3 linked regions of the Cricetulus griseus genome follow. The protein of the gene in region 3 interacts with the protein of the main gene of each other region in a pairwise test. Links are inferred from orthologs where the notes say so. Each region holds a gene or a part of one and is shown on either strand. Other genes may lie near its edges.

Region 1 (3,639 bases), on a different chromosome or scaffold from region 3:
GGCCCTGGATTCTATAAGAAAGCAGACTGAGCAAGCCAGTAAGCAGCAGCCCTCTATAGTCTCTGCATCAGCTCTTGCCTCCAGGTTCCTGCCCTGTTTGAGTTCCCATCCTGGCAGGGATCTAGAAGTATAAACCAAATAACCCTTTCCTCTTCAAGTTGCTTTTGGTCATGGTGTTTCATCACTGCAATAGTCACCCTGAGACAAGCACCAAAGAAGCAGTAACTGTACTAGAGAGTGACAGCCATGTACAAGTCCCTTTAGACTAAGACCTGACTTTGTGGCCCCAATGTTGCCTCTACCCGTCCACCAACAGCTCTGGACTGGCAGAATCCTTAAGAACTGGCCCCCTAGCCAAGTGGTAGTGGTGCACGCCTTTAATCCCAGCACTCGGGAGGCAAAGGTAGGAGGATCTCTGTGAGTTCGAGACCAGCCTGGTCTACAAGAGCTAGTTCCAGGACAGCATCCAAAGCCACAGGGAAACCCTGTCTCGAAGGAAAAAAAAAAAAAAAAAAAAAAGAACTGGCCCCCTTGCCTGCCCAGAGCCAGGGTCTTCACTACACGGTGTGTCCACCGTGGTGGAGCCCACGATAATCCCAGCACTTGAGAGGCAGAGACAGGTCAATAAGATGTCCCAGTCATCCTCAGCTACACGGAAAGTAGGAGGCCATCCCAGGACACATGAGACTCTGTCCAGAAGGGAAAAAGAAATGCTTACAATTGGGGGGAGCATGATGGGACACACCTGTGGTCCCCGATGCTCTGGAGGTTGAGGTGAAATGATCAGGAGTTAAAGGTCCTCCTGGATGACAATAACAACTTGCTTAAAACAAAGTAAAGTGAGAGCTGGAGACAGATCAGTGGTAGAGTGCTTCCTTGGAATAAAGGCCCTCACCATTCCTGGGGGTGCATTCTGTAATTCCAGATGGAGTGAGACCATCAGTTATGAGACCATCTTGGGCTAGACAGAACCTATCTCAAAAATCCAAGGAGTAGCCAGGCACCTTTTATCCCAGCACTTGGGAGGCAGAGGCAGGCAGATCTCTGACTTTGAGGCCAGCCTGGTCTCCAGAGTGAGTGCCAGGACAGGCTCCAAAGCTACACAGAGAAACCCTGTCTCGAAAAACCAAAAAAAAAAAAAGGAAAAGAAAAGAAACTGAGTTCCAATTCCCAGCAACCATGTAAACCCAGGAAGGCCACATGTCTGTAACCCTCCAGGAATTCCCTGGCCAGCCAGAATGATGAGTTTCAGGGAAACACCTTTTCTGAGGAATTAAGGTTTTGAATAATAAGATGGCTCAGACAGTAAAAGCACTTGCTGTGAAAGTTCAATGACCTACATTCCATCCTCAGAACCCACACAAAGATGAAGGGCAGAACCAGCTCCAAAAAGTTGTCTTCTGTACTCCACATGTGCACTGTGGCAATGTATCCCCCCCCACACACACACACCACACACCACACACTAATAATAGTAATAATAAAATTTGGGGTTGGGTATAGTGGAGTACACCTTTAATCCCAGAACTCAGGAGGCAGACACAGGAGGATCTGGAAATTCAAGGCCAGCCTGGTCTATGTAAGTTCCAGGCCAGCCAGACAGACCTCATCTCAAAAAATGGGGGTATAAGGGTAGGGAAAATGGGACACAGCACTGGAGAGATGGCTCAATGGTTAGGGGCACTGGCTGCTGATCCAAAGGACCCAGGTTGGGTTCCCAGCACCCACACAGTGGCTCACAACCTTCAGTAACTCCAGTTCCAGGGGATCCGACATCCTCTTCTGGCCTCCACAGGCACTGTACACATGTGGTGCCACAAACAGGCATACAGGCAAAACACACACATATAAAAATAAAGGTAAATAAATATAAAAATAATTTAAGATCACAGGCTGTGAATGAGGTAGTACTATGTGGAGCACGCAGCAAGAACTAAGTAAATGTGAGAAGTGGTGATGACAAGATGAAATGCTAAGTAAGCTCAGGATCCCCAGAGTCCCTGCCTCACACACCTCCCAAGGCTTTGCTTAACTACTATGACCCCAGTTTCCTGAAGCCATCCCCTGCAGACACTAAGGTCTCTCATGCCTTTGATCTCCAGGACAGGTCTGTGTTGGCTCTGAGCTCCACCTTGACAGGCAGACTACATCTGCAAACCCTGGAAGCCCCATAGAAGCCTGAGGTCTTCTGCTCTTCACACCTCAGGCCCTCAGCCCCTCACACCTCAGCTCCTCAGCCCCTCACACCTCAGCTCCTCAGCCCCCTCACCTCATACCCCCAGCTCAGTTACTCAGATTTTCTTGTCAAGTCATTGACCCCTTCCTTACACCTCAGCTCCCTTTCTCTTACTTCAGTCCCTCACCTCATGCTCTCACACCCTCACCTCAGGTCCTTCAGCCGCTTGCAGTGCTTCAGCATGTCAGCAAGAGCAGGCATGTACACCACCTTCCCCATCATGCCCAGGTTGGCCAACGACAGAGACTGCAGCTGCTGACACTGTAGGCCAATGCTCACTAGTCCAGAGCCTGTCAGCATGCCTGGAAGTTGGGCTAGTGTCAGGTGCCGCAGGAAGGCCAGCTGACCAATGGCAGCCACCTCTGAATCCCCAACATTCTGTGCCCGACTGCAGGGTGGGAGTGAGTTGCGAATGGCAGGCTCATTGCGTGGCATGGCTGAGGAGAAATTGGACCCGATCAGTTCCAGGTGCTCCAGATAAGGGAGCTTCTTCAGCAGAGACCAGAACACAGAGGCAGGCTGGGGGGCCGACTGGCCCAGGAAGGGGTTGGGACAGGTCTGAACCCCAATGCGCACCTTCTTGCCAAAGCCACGGGGCACTGCATGCATGGCCGGCGGGGCAGGCGCGCGGTCAGGCCTAGGTGCTGAGTCAGCCACAGAGCAGACAGGCAGCGAGAGGGAACGCAGGTGGCAGAGCCGGGCCAGGAGCTGGCAGAGGTGGCGGCCCAGGCCATCAGAGCTGTGGTGGTGGGCAGCTGAGAGATTGAGGTGGTGCAGATTACAGCAGGACTCTACCAGTGTCTCCAGGATGCTGCTGTCAATGTCGTCCTCTGCCTTACGGAGCAACGAGTCTGCAGACAGGCAATGCACACAGCCACTGAGGTTAAGGCTGGCCAGGCTGCGCAGGTCCTTCCCCCCATTGATGACCCGCTGGATCAGGTGGCCACCTGACAGTGTACACCGGCTAAAGCTGAAGTAGAAGGGATTGTTGAATTTCATATGCTGGAGAAGGGTGGAGCCGTTCAGCCATGACTTGGGCAGCTGCAGGGCATCCAAGGCCACATTGCGGGCCATGGAGTCCAGCAAGTTCTTGGTGGCCCCACTCTCCGCGAAGCTGCCAGGGACAGAAATGAGGAAGGCATGCAGGTTCTCAGGCGTGCGGTCACTGAGCACGGCGAGGTAGAGTCGCACCACTTCCTGGTTGATGTAGCCAGGAGCCAGGCGTGCATAGAAGACACGCAGGTTCTGGTAATGGGGCACGTTGCTCTGGCCCACCATGAGTTGGCCGGAGAGGACAGCACCCTCACGTGTGCGGTCCAGGATCTCAAAGTAGAGCAGCAACTTCTGCAGGCTGGCACAGCAGGGCACCACACCATAGGATGGTGTGAACAGCGTCTGCTTGA
Region 2 (4,258 bases), about 150 Mb from region 3:
AGCCATGGTGTGTGTGTGTGTGTGTGTGTGTGTGTGTGTGTGTGTGTGTGTGTAGGTTATGTGTGTGGTGTATGTACTTGTTACTATCCCTGCATGTGTGTGGTGGCAGAGAATGACACTAGGTACACTTTCTACCATATTTCATTTGTTGAGACTGGGTGTCTCATCAGTTTGACTAGGCTGACTGACCAATGACCTTCAGGAATCCACTTGTGCTCACCTTCTCCCAAGCCCACCCCAGGCACTGGGGTTACAGACTCCCCTCTGCCCACACCCAGCTTTTAGGTGGGTTCTAGGGATCCAGACTCAGGTCCCCATGCTTTACTGACTGAACTGTCTCCCTAGTGCCCCCCACAAATCTTTTCAATAAACTATCTTGAGAGAATGCTGAATTATGATTTTACAAAGAATAAATCCATAAAATACATACAAGATTCTGGTCCAGGGTACTTATCGGAAAGAAATGCAGTCACCATTTGGATGCGTAGCCTGGGGGGGGGGGTATTATTCTCATTCCTATTCTATTTAGAGTACCCATATTTCAAGGTTTTCCAGAACACTCACAAGACAGTAGCAGAGTCCAGGGACAGGACTACAGGGTGGGATTCTGTCAATCTAATACATAAGTTGTGAACTTCATTCACTATAGCACAAAAAGACTGGGGTCCCAACCATTTAGCAAAGGTGTTTAAAAGAGAGATGTCTCAGAGGTTAACAGCACTGGCTGCTCTTCCAGAGGACCAGGGTTCAATTCCCAGCACCCATGTGGCAGCTCACAACAGTCTCTAACTCCAGTTCCAGGAGATATGACACCTTCATGTCAATGCACATAAAAATAAAGTTAAATAAATTATTTTAAAAATAGAAGGTTTCATATATACAGATATATGAAAGAAAAAAGATGAGTAGATTGCCAGGCAGTGCTGGCATGCATCTTTAATCCCAGTGCTTCAGAGGCAGAAGAAGGCAGATCTCTGTGAATTCAAGGCCAGCCTGGTCTACAGAGCGAGTTCCAGGACAACCAGCCAGGATACACAGAGAAACCCTGTCTTGAAAAACAAAAAACAAAGCTGGGCATTGGTGGCCCATGCCTTTAATCCCAGCACTTGGGAGGCAGAGGCAGGTGGATCTCTGTGAGTTCGAGGCCAACCTGGTCTCCAGAGCGAGTGCCAGGATAGGCTCTAAAGCTACACAGAGAAACCCTGTCTCAGGAAGAGAGAGAGAGAGAGAGAGAGAGAGAGAGAGAGAGAGAGAGAGAGAGAAACAAAAAGCAAACAAACAAAAATAAAAGAGTAGATTGACATTGGGTGATACAAAATTCTGAGTTAGGCCAGAGAAAGCTTATGCTCTTCATGTTCTTATTCAAACCATTACTCTAGGTTCAATAAGTTCTCCCACATTTTTGAAATTTACATTTGGTCTTGACTCTGGATATGCTTTGACCAGTAGAGCACAAAATGTAGAGCAGATGGTAGAAAAAGCTATAGACATTACCAGGCTCTCAGAGTGCATTAGTTCATAGAGAGGTCATTTGCTTTACTCATCTTCCACAAGCATTGCACAAAGACCTGTTTCCAAGGCTCTTGGCCCCTGGCAAACCTCAAGGGGTTGGATGCCCTGAAAGTTGTGACACAGTTAAGAGGCAGGAATGAGTACCCATCTGGTCTACAGACGCTTGCTCACTGGCAGCCACTGTTCTCAGAGGCAGGCTTCCCTAACCCATTGGTCAAGGTGCCAGGGCAGGGCAGATATCCCCAGCTAGCTGCCCCACACTTCTGGAATTCTATTGAGTGCATCCATAATGACAGGTTCTGTTTCTTGAGCACCCACTTCTGCAGGGCAACCTTAGTGGCTCCAAGAACCCACCCAGGGTTTGAACCCTCCTCTAATGACCAGGTACAAGCCACCAGTCACACACAACCTCTTATTACCTCTGAGCTCCTCAGGGTGCAGTCACCCAACACCAGATACACTCTCATTTATCCGTGTTTAAATGAAGAATAAAAACAAATCAATCTCCTCCTCCCCCCTCTTCTATCTGTCACTTTGTCCATTCCAAAAGTACCCCACCCTGCACGGGTATTGTTGGTGTATCGGTGAGGAAAACACATCAAAATCCCTGCCCTGCAGGAATTTACTTCGCCAGTGTAGTACAGTGGCCAACAAAGTTTGAAATCATTTTTCTCCCATCCTCATGCCACTCTCTCAAAGAACTTAATATTGTGCTTAATGTTAACTTGACTGGAAACAAAATCCTTAACGTGTAAGAACAGACGCTGCCCGGGTGCAATCCAATTCTCCCTTGAACTTGACTACCTCCCAACACTTTTCCCCCACTCAATGTGGCCAAACACTTTAGGTGGCTTGAGGGTCTGAGCTCCCCAACTGAGGCAAAATTAAAACACAGGAGGGACCCTCCACAACCCACTGCCCAGAAGGCGGACCCCCACAGAGAGGCACCCAGTACTCACCGAGGAACCTGCCCAGAAGGGGCACGAGTTCTTCACCTGAGGCGAACTGCTCAACGACAGCGCCCCGAAGCTGAGCGCCACCATGCAGCAGCCCAGGATCAGCTGCAACAGCCCGAGCGACAGCAGTGGGCGCGCGGGCAGCAGCGCGGAGCCAGGCGCTGCGGGGCGGCGGGACGCGAGCGCGGGTGGCGGGGCCAGCACAGCGGCGGGGGCGCAGCGGGGCCGAGCTGGAGGCTGCAGAGCGCCCCGGGGCCAGCGCGGCCGCAGCGGGGGCAGTGGCGGCTCCTGGGCGGCGGTGGTCGCGACTCCAGGACCCCCGGCCTGAGGTCCGCCCGACAGCCCGGCCACCGGGCAGCAGGAACCCGGGAGCACCACGGGCAGAGACATGGGCGCGCAGCGGGCGGGTGGCTCAGCGGAGCGGAGGGTGCGGCGCACCGGGCACCCGCGCCGGCGCCGAGCAGGACGGACTGCGCACGGCCCAACCACTTGCTGCCGCGGCCCGCGCCGGCCGCGCCCACCTGCCCCGCGGGGCCCGCCCCCCGCCGATCCCTCTCGGTCACCCACAGTGACAAGTGCACCGCCGCTTCAGGGTCACACGGGAAAGGCGTCAGGAAACGGCCCACCGTTCATAGTCTGTCCCCAACAGTGGCGCCAAGGGAAGCGTTGTAGACCCGGGTACCTCGGAGGACCGTCCTGAAAGTGGGAGACCCTGACGACCTTTAAATGGGAAGGAAGTCCCGAGTGATTCTCCCCCTCCCCCTGCTAGGAGGAGGGGCTGCTGGCAACCCCGACGGGAAAAGGTCCAAGCCCGGGAAGATGATGCTTCCCTGGACGTTACTGCCTGGGAGTGCGACCTGTATCTATGACCTCCGCGGGAGGATTCCCGGCGCTGACGCTGCAGCCCTGCGGGGAGAGGACGAGGTGCTTTCCCAGCACCAGAGTGGGAACAAGAGTAGTAAGACAAAAGTTACCTTGGGAGTTACTACCCAGCATTCACAATGGAAGAGGCCAGGGCGACCCTGTGCAGTTGGCACAGGCTCCATCCTTCTAGCTTTGACCCGGAGCTAATTGGCATCACCTGATAGAACACAGAATCCCAAACTTCCCAGGAAATAGTCTAATGAAATCGTAATCTACTTTAGTAATTTGTGATGCATCTATTGAACTTTAAAGAAAAAGCAATTATTCGTCTTTGCACAATGGTTTCCCCTAATAGAATGTCTAGACGTCTAATGTATCATAGGTGAGCTGCTGATAATGGGCTTCTTTTCCAGGTACGAGCCAGAGCAGTGTCAGTTTGCAGCCAGTTCTAGTATTTGAAAGCTTGTCTTATTGGAAAGGTGAGGGAATTTAATTCCCTCCTGTTCACTAGAACAAGAGAAATGCAGGTTTCTCTGAGTGCTCTGATTGTAAAGGCTGTATTTATGTTGTCATTGCTTCATATCGTGTAATGTATTACCAGTGTTCATATGTTTACATACAATCTTTAAATCATTAAACCACCTGTGCCTGGGATTAATAGTGCCTGGAATTTCCTTTCAGACTGCTCCCAGGAATAAACTTCAGGGTTTGGAGGGGAAAGTATATGTTTTTGTAAATAAATGCTGGAAGTCTGATGTCTTGTGTACAAAAAAAAAAAAAAAAAAACCTACAATAGATGCTCTCAAATTGCAGGTAAAGATGAATTAAGTTTCTTCAGTGCTGTGGTTATAACTTTTATTTTAAACACAAGCTTAAAAGTATTTAATTGTTAAGGCTGGATGACACCTTGCAATATAGTATGTCTG
Region 3 (4,264 bases):
CATAGCCAGATTGAAGTCAGCCTGGGCTACAACCTACCTTGTATCAAAAAGCCAAAAGCCACAGTGAGACCCTGTCTCAAAAAAGGAAAGGCTGAGCATAGTTTTGATTTAAATTTATTTTAATTTAACACAACTTTAATTCCAGCACTTGGGAGGCAGAGGCAGGTGGATCTTTGTGAGCTCTAGACCAGTCAGGACTACATAATAAAAATTTGTCTTAAATAAGGAAAGAAATAACCAAATATAAGAATAAATGAGAACCTGGTGTAAGTTTTTTGCAAGTGGGAAAGTAGTCATTAAATGAAAGACAGACCTGGTAGTGCAGTCCTGTAATTCCAGCTAACTCAAGAGACAGAGGCAGGAGGAGCACAAGTTCAAGGCTTTCCTGAGCTACAGGAGTTTGAGGCCACCCAGGGAAACTTACTGAGAGTCTGTCTCAAAAGAAAAAGAAAAAAACTTACAAAAAGAAGGGCTACAGCCAGGCATTGGTGGTGCACGTCTTTAATCCCAGCACTCGGGAGGCAGAGGCAGGCGGATCTCTGTGAGTTTGAGGCCAGCCTGGTCTCCGGAGCAAGTGCTAGGATGGGCTCCAAAGCTACACAGGAGTGGGGGAGAGGGGAAGGGCTACAGCTCCAACTCAGTGGTAAGGTGTAAAGTTCAATGACAAAAAAAAAAAAAAAAAAAAAAAAAAAAAAAAAAAAAAAAAAAAACAGTGAAAGAGAACGACAAGCCAATCCAAGCCTTTGGCCTCAGGCTCCTTGGTTTCCTAGGGACCAATAACACAGAACAAAACTAGCTTCACTGACCAGAAAAAGGACAGGAAACTTAAGTTCAAACCCCTTCTTCACCACATACAGCAGTGTGACCTTTAAAAACTCCCTTATTTCTCAAACACTGACCAAGTACTCACAACATACCAGGCATGAGGCTAGTAGCCAAGGAAGCCACATAAAATAGGATCACTGCCCTTGAATGATTTACAGTCTAGCAGGAAGATGAGTAAACAAGTCAAGTTGGGGCTAGAGAGATAGATCAACAGTTAAAGAGTATTTAGTGCTCTTCCACAGGACCAAAGTTTAGTTCCCAGAATGACAGGCCAGAGGCTTGGGGCTGGAGAGACAGCTCAGTGATTAAGAGCACTGGCTGCTCTTCCAGAGGGCCCAAATTCAATTCCCAGCACCCACATGGCAACTCACAACTGTCTGTAACTTCAGCTCCAGAGGATCCAACAGCCTCACATAGACATGAATGCAGACAAAATAAAATCTTTTTAAAAAGAAAGAAAGCGCAGAGGCTCACAACCACCTGTATCTCTGGCTTCAAGGGACCCAATGCTTTCTTCTGGCCTCTGTGGACACCCACACCCTACATATGACATACATACACAGACACGAACACACACACACATAATAAATAAAAATAAATATTTTTAAAGTCAACCCTCTTAGCTGTTTGTTCTCTGTGAAGTGGGGATTGATTTCTCATGACAGCTACAAAAATTAACTTTTGAATGTTTGTCATATACCCCAAAGTCTTCCACTCCTAATGTATTAATGCAAAGTTTTTGGTTTTTTTTTTTGCCCTAGTGACCTGTGATCCTGGCTCCTGTCAACGTCCCATTTGAACTCTAACTCCTTCACTGCATTCACAAAACCCATTTCACTTCTGCAAAGTTTAGTAAATGTGAAGGAAAAGAGGAGGGCTTGGTTGTTTGTTTAGGTCTTAACAGTGTAGCCCAGGCCGGCTTGGCCTGGAACTTGCAGCCATCTTCACGCCTCGGCCTGGAAGATGAACAATCTTAAGATGGGTATCTTAACCTCAAAAAAAAAAAAAAAAAAATGTGATCTAGGTCACAGTTCTAAGGAATACCACAGAAACTTCTCTGTCACCCCACCTAGTCACAGCTGGTCAAGATAAGAAGTCTCATGGAAAAGGAAACTGTGTAATTTAAGCCTAAGATGCATCGTCTAAAGCAGTATCGGTAGACTTTCTACTGTCCAAGAGTTAAGCAGTCAATGCGTTGCTGAGGTAACGCTGGCCCAAGCCGCTGACAACTGTGTAGGTTGAAAGTCATGTTATGATCCCAGTAAAGCACCCACACCGTCTTTATTTTATTTTTTTTTTCGAAGATCAGCCGATCCGGGAGCATCTCAAAGAAAGATGATCTGAAGGGCTAGGCTCCTAACAAGAGGGAACCCTAAGCAAACAGGGCAAAGTGGGTGTGACCACAGTCAGCCGATCAAGACTGAGGGATCCCTCCTGAAGTTTAAAAACTGAACCGGACCGAAATTAAAGTCTCAGGTCGCCATCATCTTCAAAGAGGATGGAAGGAAGAGACTCTCGGAATGGGGTCCAGGCCGCATCGTCCAGATTTTTTCTCCACGTCCCTACAAACCAGACGCCCACTCCCAGGCAGCCCCTTCTGGGGAGCTTGCTAGTCTCCCGGGCCGAGGTCCCGTCCCCTCCACAGACGCGGCTCCTGCGCACCGCAGGCGCCCAGGCAGGGGTCCCCTGCCGGAAGCGCCAGCAGCTGGCGACTCCCACCGGGCCCCGCGCCCACCCCGCTCGGGCGCAAGCCGGGACACCCCTCCTCGGAGGCCGGAACCGCGCGCCAGGCCCCTCCCACAGGAAGCCGCCGCCCCCGCGCCCGCCCCGCGCCGCCCCCAGCCCTCACGCCCCCGCCGCCCCCGGCCACCCCGCGCCGCCCGCTCGCCACCGAGCCCCCAGCGCCCGCGCCACCTACCTGCAGCGGCCACACCAGCGGCGCCTAACTCCGCTCCACTTCCGCCTTCCAGCGCCCGCACTCGGGCCGGGTCACGTGAGTGCGCGCGGTCACCTGACCCGGAAGAGGCTGGCCTGGGCGCGCAGGTGCGGACCACCTAGACCCAGCATGCGAGCTTTTGATTTACTGAGGTCCCGAGTGGCGAGGACCTCTTGCTCCTGAGTTGTGTTCGGGCAGACATACAAAATAGGGACTCGCCGGGCACCAGGGGCTTTATTTTATTCCTTTGGAAGTAGGTAGAGTTTCCCTCCATGAAACAGGTGGGAGAAGACCATCCGGTCAGTTAATTCAGCGAGTCTTTCGGGGATTACTGGAGAAAAAAACAGTATGCTAGCCGAGTGATAGTGGCGCTCCCCTTTAATACCAGCATTTGGGAGGCAGAGGCAGGCGGTTCTTCGTAAATTCAAGGCTAGCCTTGTCTACAGGGTGAATTCTAAAACAGCCATGACTACTACACAGAGAAACTCTGTCTCAAAAAACAAACAAACAAAAACTTGCTAACAAAAAAACAGTATGTTCCCCCCTTAAATTTGAATATCGGATAAACCTTGTAACTATAACCACGTCCGCAAATTTGGAAAGGGATGTATTGACACCACAAAGGTATACTGGTCAAACTTAAGCATCTTATGTATTGCTAATATTGGCAGCTTGTGCCAACTATATGCTAGGCCTTGTTTTCAGTTCTAGAAGTATAAATGCCCTGGCCTTTATAGAACATCTGTTCTTGTTCCAAGAAGCAAAAGTAGAAGGGGGTGGGGGTGAGGTCACACTTCAGAACTTCACCCAAGTCCGTAAGTGTCCCATGGGGAACCAACTCCCATTTCCTCCCTGTATGGAGTAAACTGAAAGTTTTGAATTAGCAAACGGCCTCTATGTAACCCTGACTGACCTGGAACTCAACCCTATCCTCAGCCTTCTTAATTCCTGGCATTGGGGGCACTGAGGGTTGGACCCAGAGCCCTGCTCATACTAGTCAGGGATCACTCCTACTGACCTATGTTGCCAGTCCTGTTGTTACCTTTCTAGTTTTTATTTGGAGCAGGGTCTTGCTTAAAGAGTTCTAATTGGCCTTGAACTTTTGATTCTCTGAGTAGTTAGGATTACCTTTTTGTGCCATGGGGGGGGGGGGGTCAGGAGACAGGTGGAGTCAGGGTTTCATGCACCCTAGGCTGGGACCCACCTCCCAGTTGATCAGATAACAGATATGTGCCACACCATCTGGCTTTCTGTTGGGTTTGGTTTTGGTTAACTGAAATTTTTAATTTTTCATTAGTATTTTATTATATGGATCTTTTTCCTGTGCATACACATCTGTGTACCACCTGGATGTTTGGTGCCTTTGTTGTGGGTTATCTACCAGAGAAAACTGCTCAGACATTCATCTAAGCCAATAGAAAGTCTTTATTAGCCAGCCGGCAACTACACTGGGTGTTAAGGATCAAGCAAGGTTAGTAAATTTAAAGACTTTCCCAGAACTAT

What was found.
Region 1: the proteins of Wwp2 (region 3) and Fbxl18 interact in a two-hybrid assay, tested with the Homo sapiens proteins (3 studies listed by BioGRID and IntAct). The link is inferred for Cricetulus griseus from reciprocal best matches to the Homo sapiens genes WWP2 and FBXL18.
Region 2: the proteins of Wwp2 (region 3) and Fam189a2 interact in binary tests that used the Homo sapiens proteins (3 or more experiments, as listed by UniProt). The link is inferred for Cricetulus griseus from reciprocal best matches to the Homo sapiens genes WWP2 and ENTREP1.

Annotation. Positions count from the first base shown.
Region 1 is NC_048597.1:79,449,830-79,453,468, forward strand, and holds part of Fbxl18 (F-box/LRR-repeat protein 18), read right to left. Parts: coding exon 2,385-3,639; intron 1-2,384. UniProt on the Homo sapiens protein: Substrate-recognition component of the SCF (SKP1-CUL1-F-box protein)-type E3 ubiquitin ligase complex.
Region 2 is NC_048596.1:37,233,949-37,238,206, reverse strand, and holds the start of Fam189a2 (protein FAM189A2), read right to left. Parts: upstream 2,859-4,258; coding exon 2,472-2,858; intron 1-2,471. UniProt on the Homo sapiens protein: Functions as an activator of the E3 ubiquitin protein ligase ITCH in the ubiquitination of the CXCL12-activated CXCR4 receptor. Thereby, triggers CXCR4 endocytosis and desensitization, negatively regulating the CXCL12/CXCR4 signaling pathway.
Region 3 is NC_048596.1:183,768,594-183,772,857, reverse strand, and holds the start of Wwp2 (NEDD4-like E3 ubiquitin-protein ligase WWP2), read right to left. Parts: upstream 2,840-4,264; 5' UTR 2,744-2,839; intron 1-2,743. UniProt on the Homo sapiens protein: E3 ubiquitin-protein ligase which accepts ubiquitin from an E2 ubiquitin-conjugating enzyme in the form of a thioester and then directly transfers the ubiquitin to targeted substrates.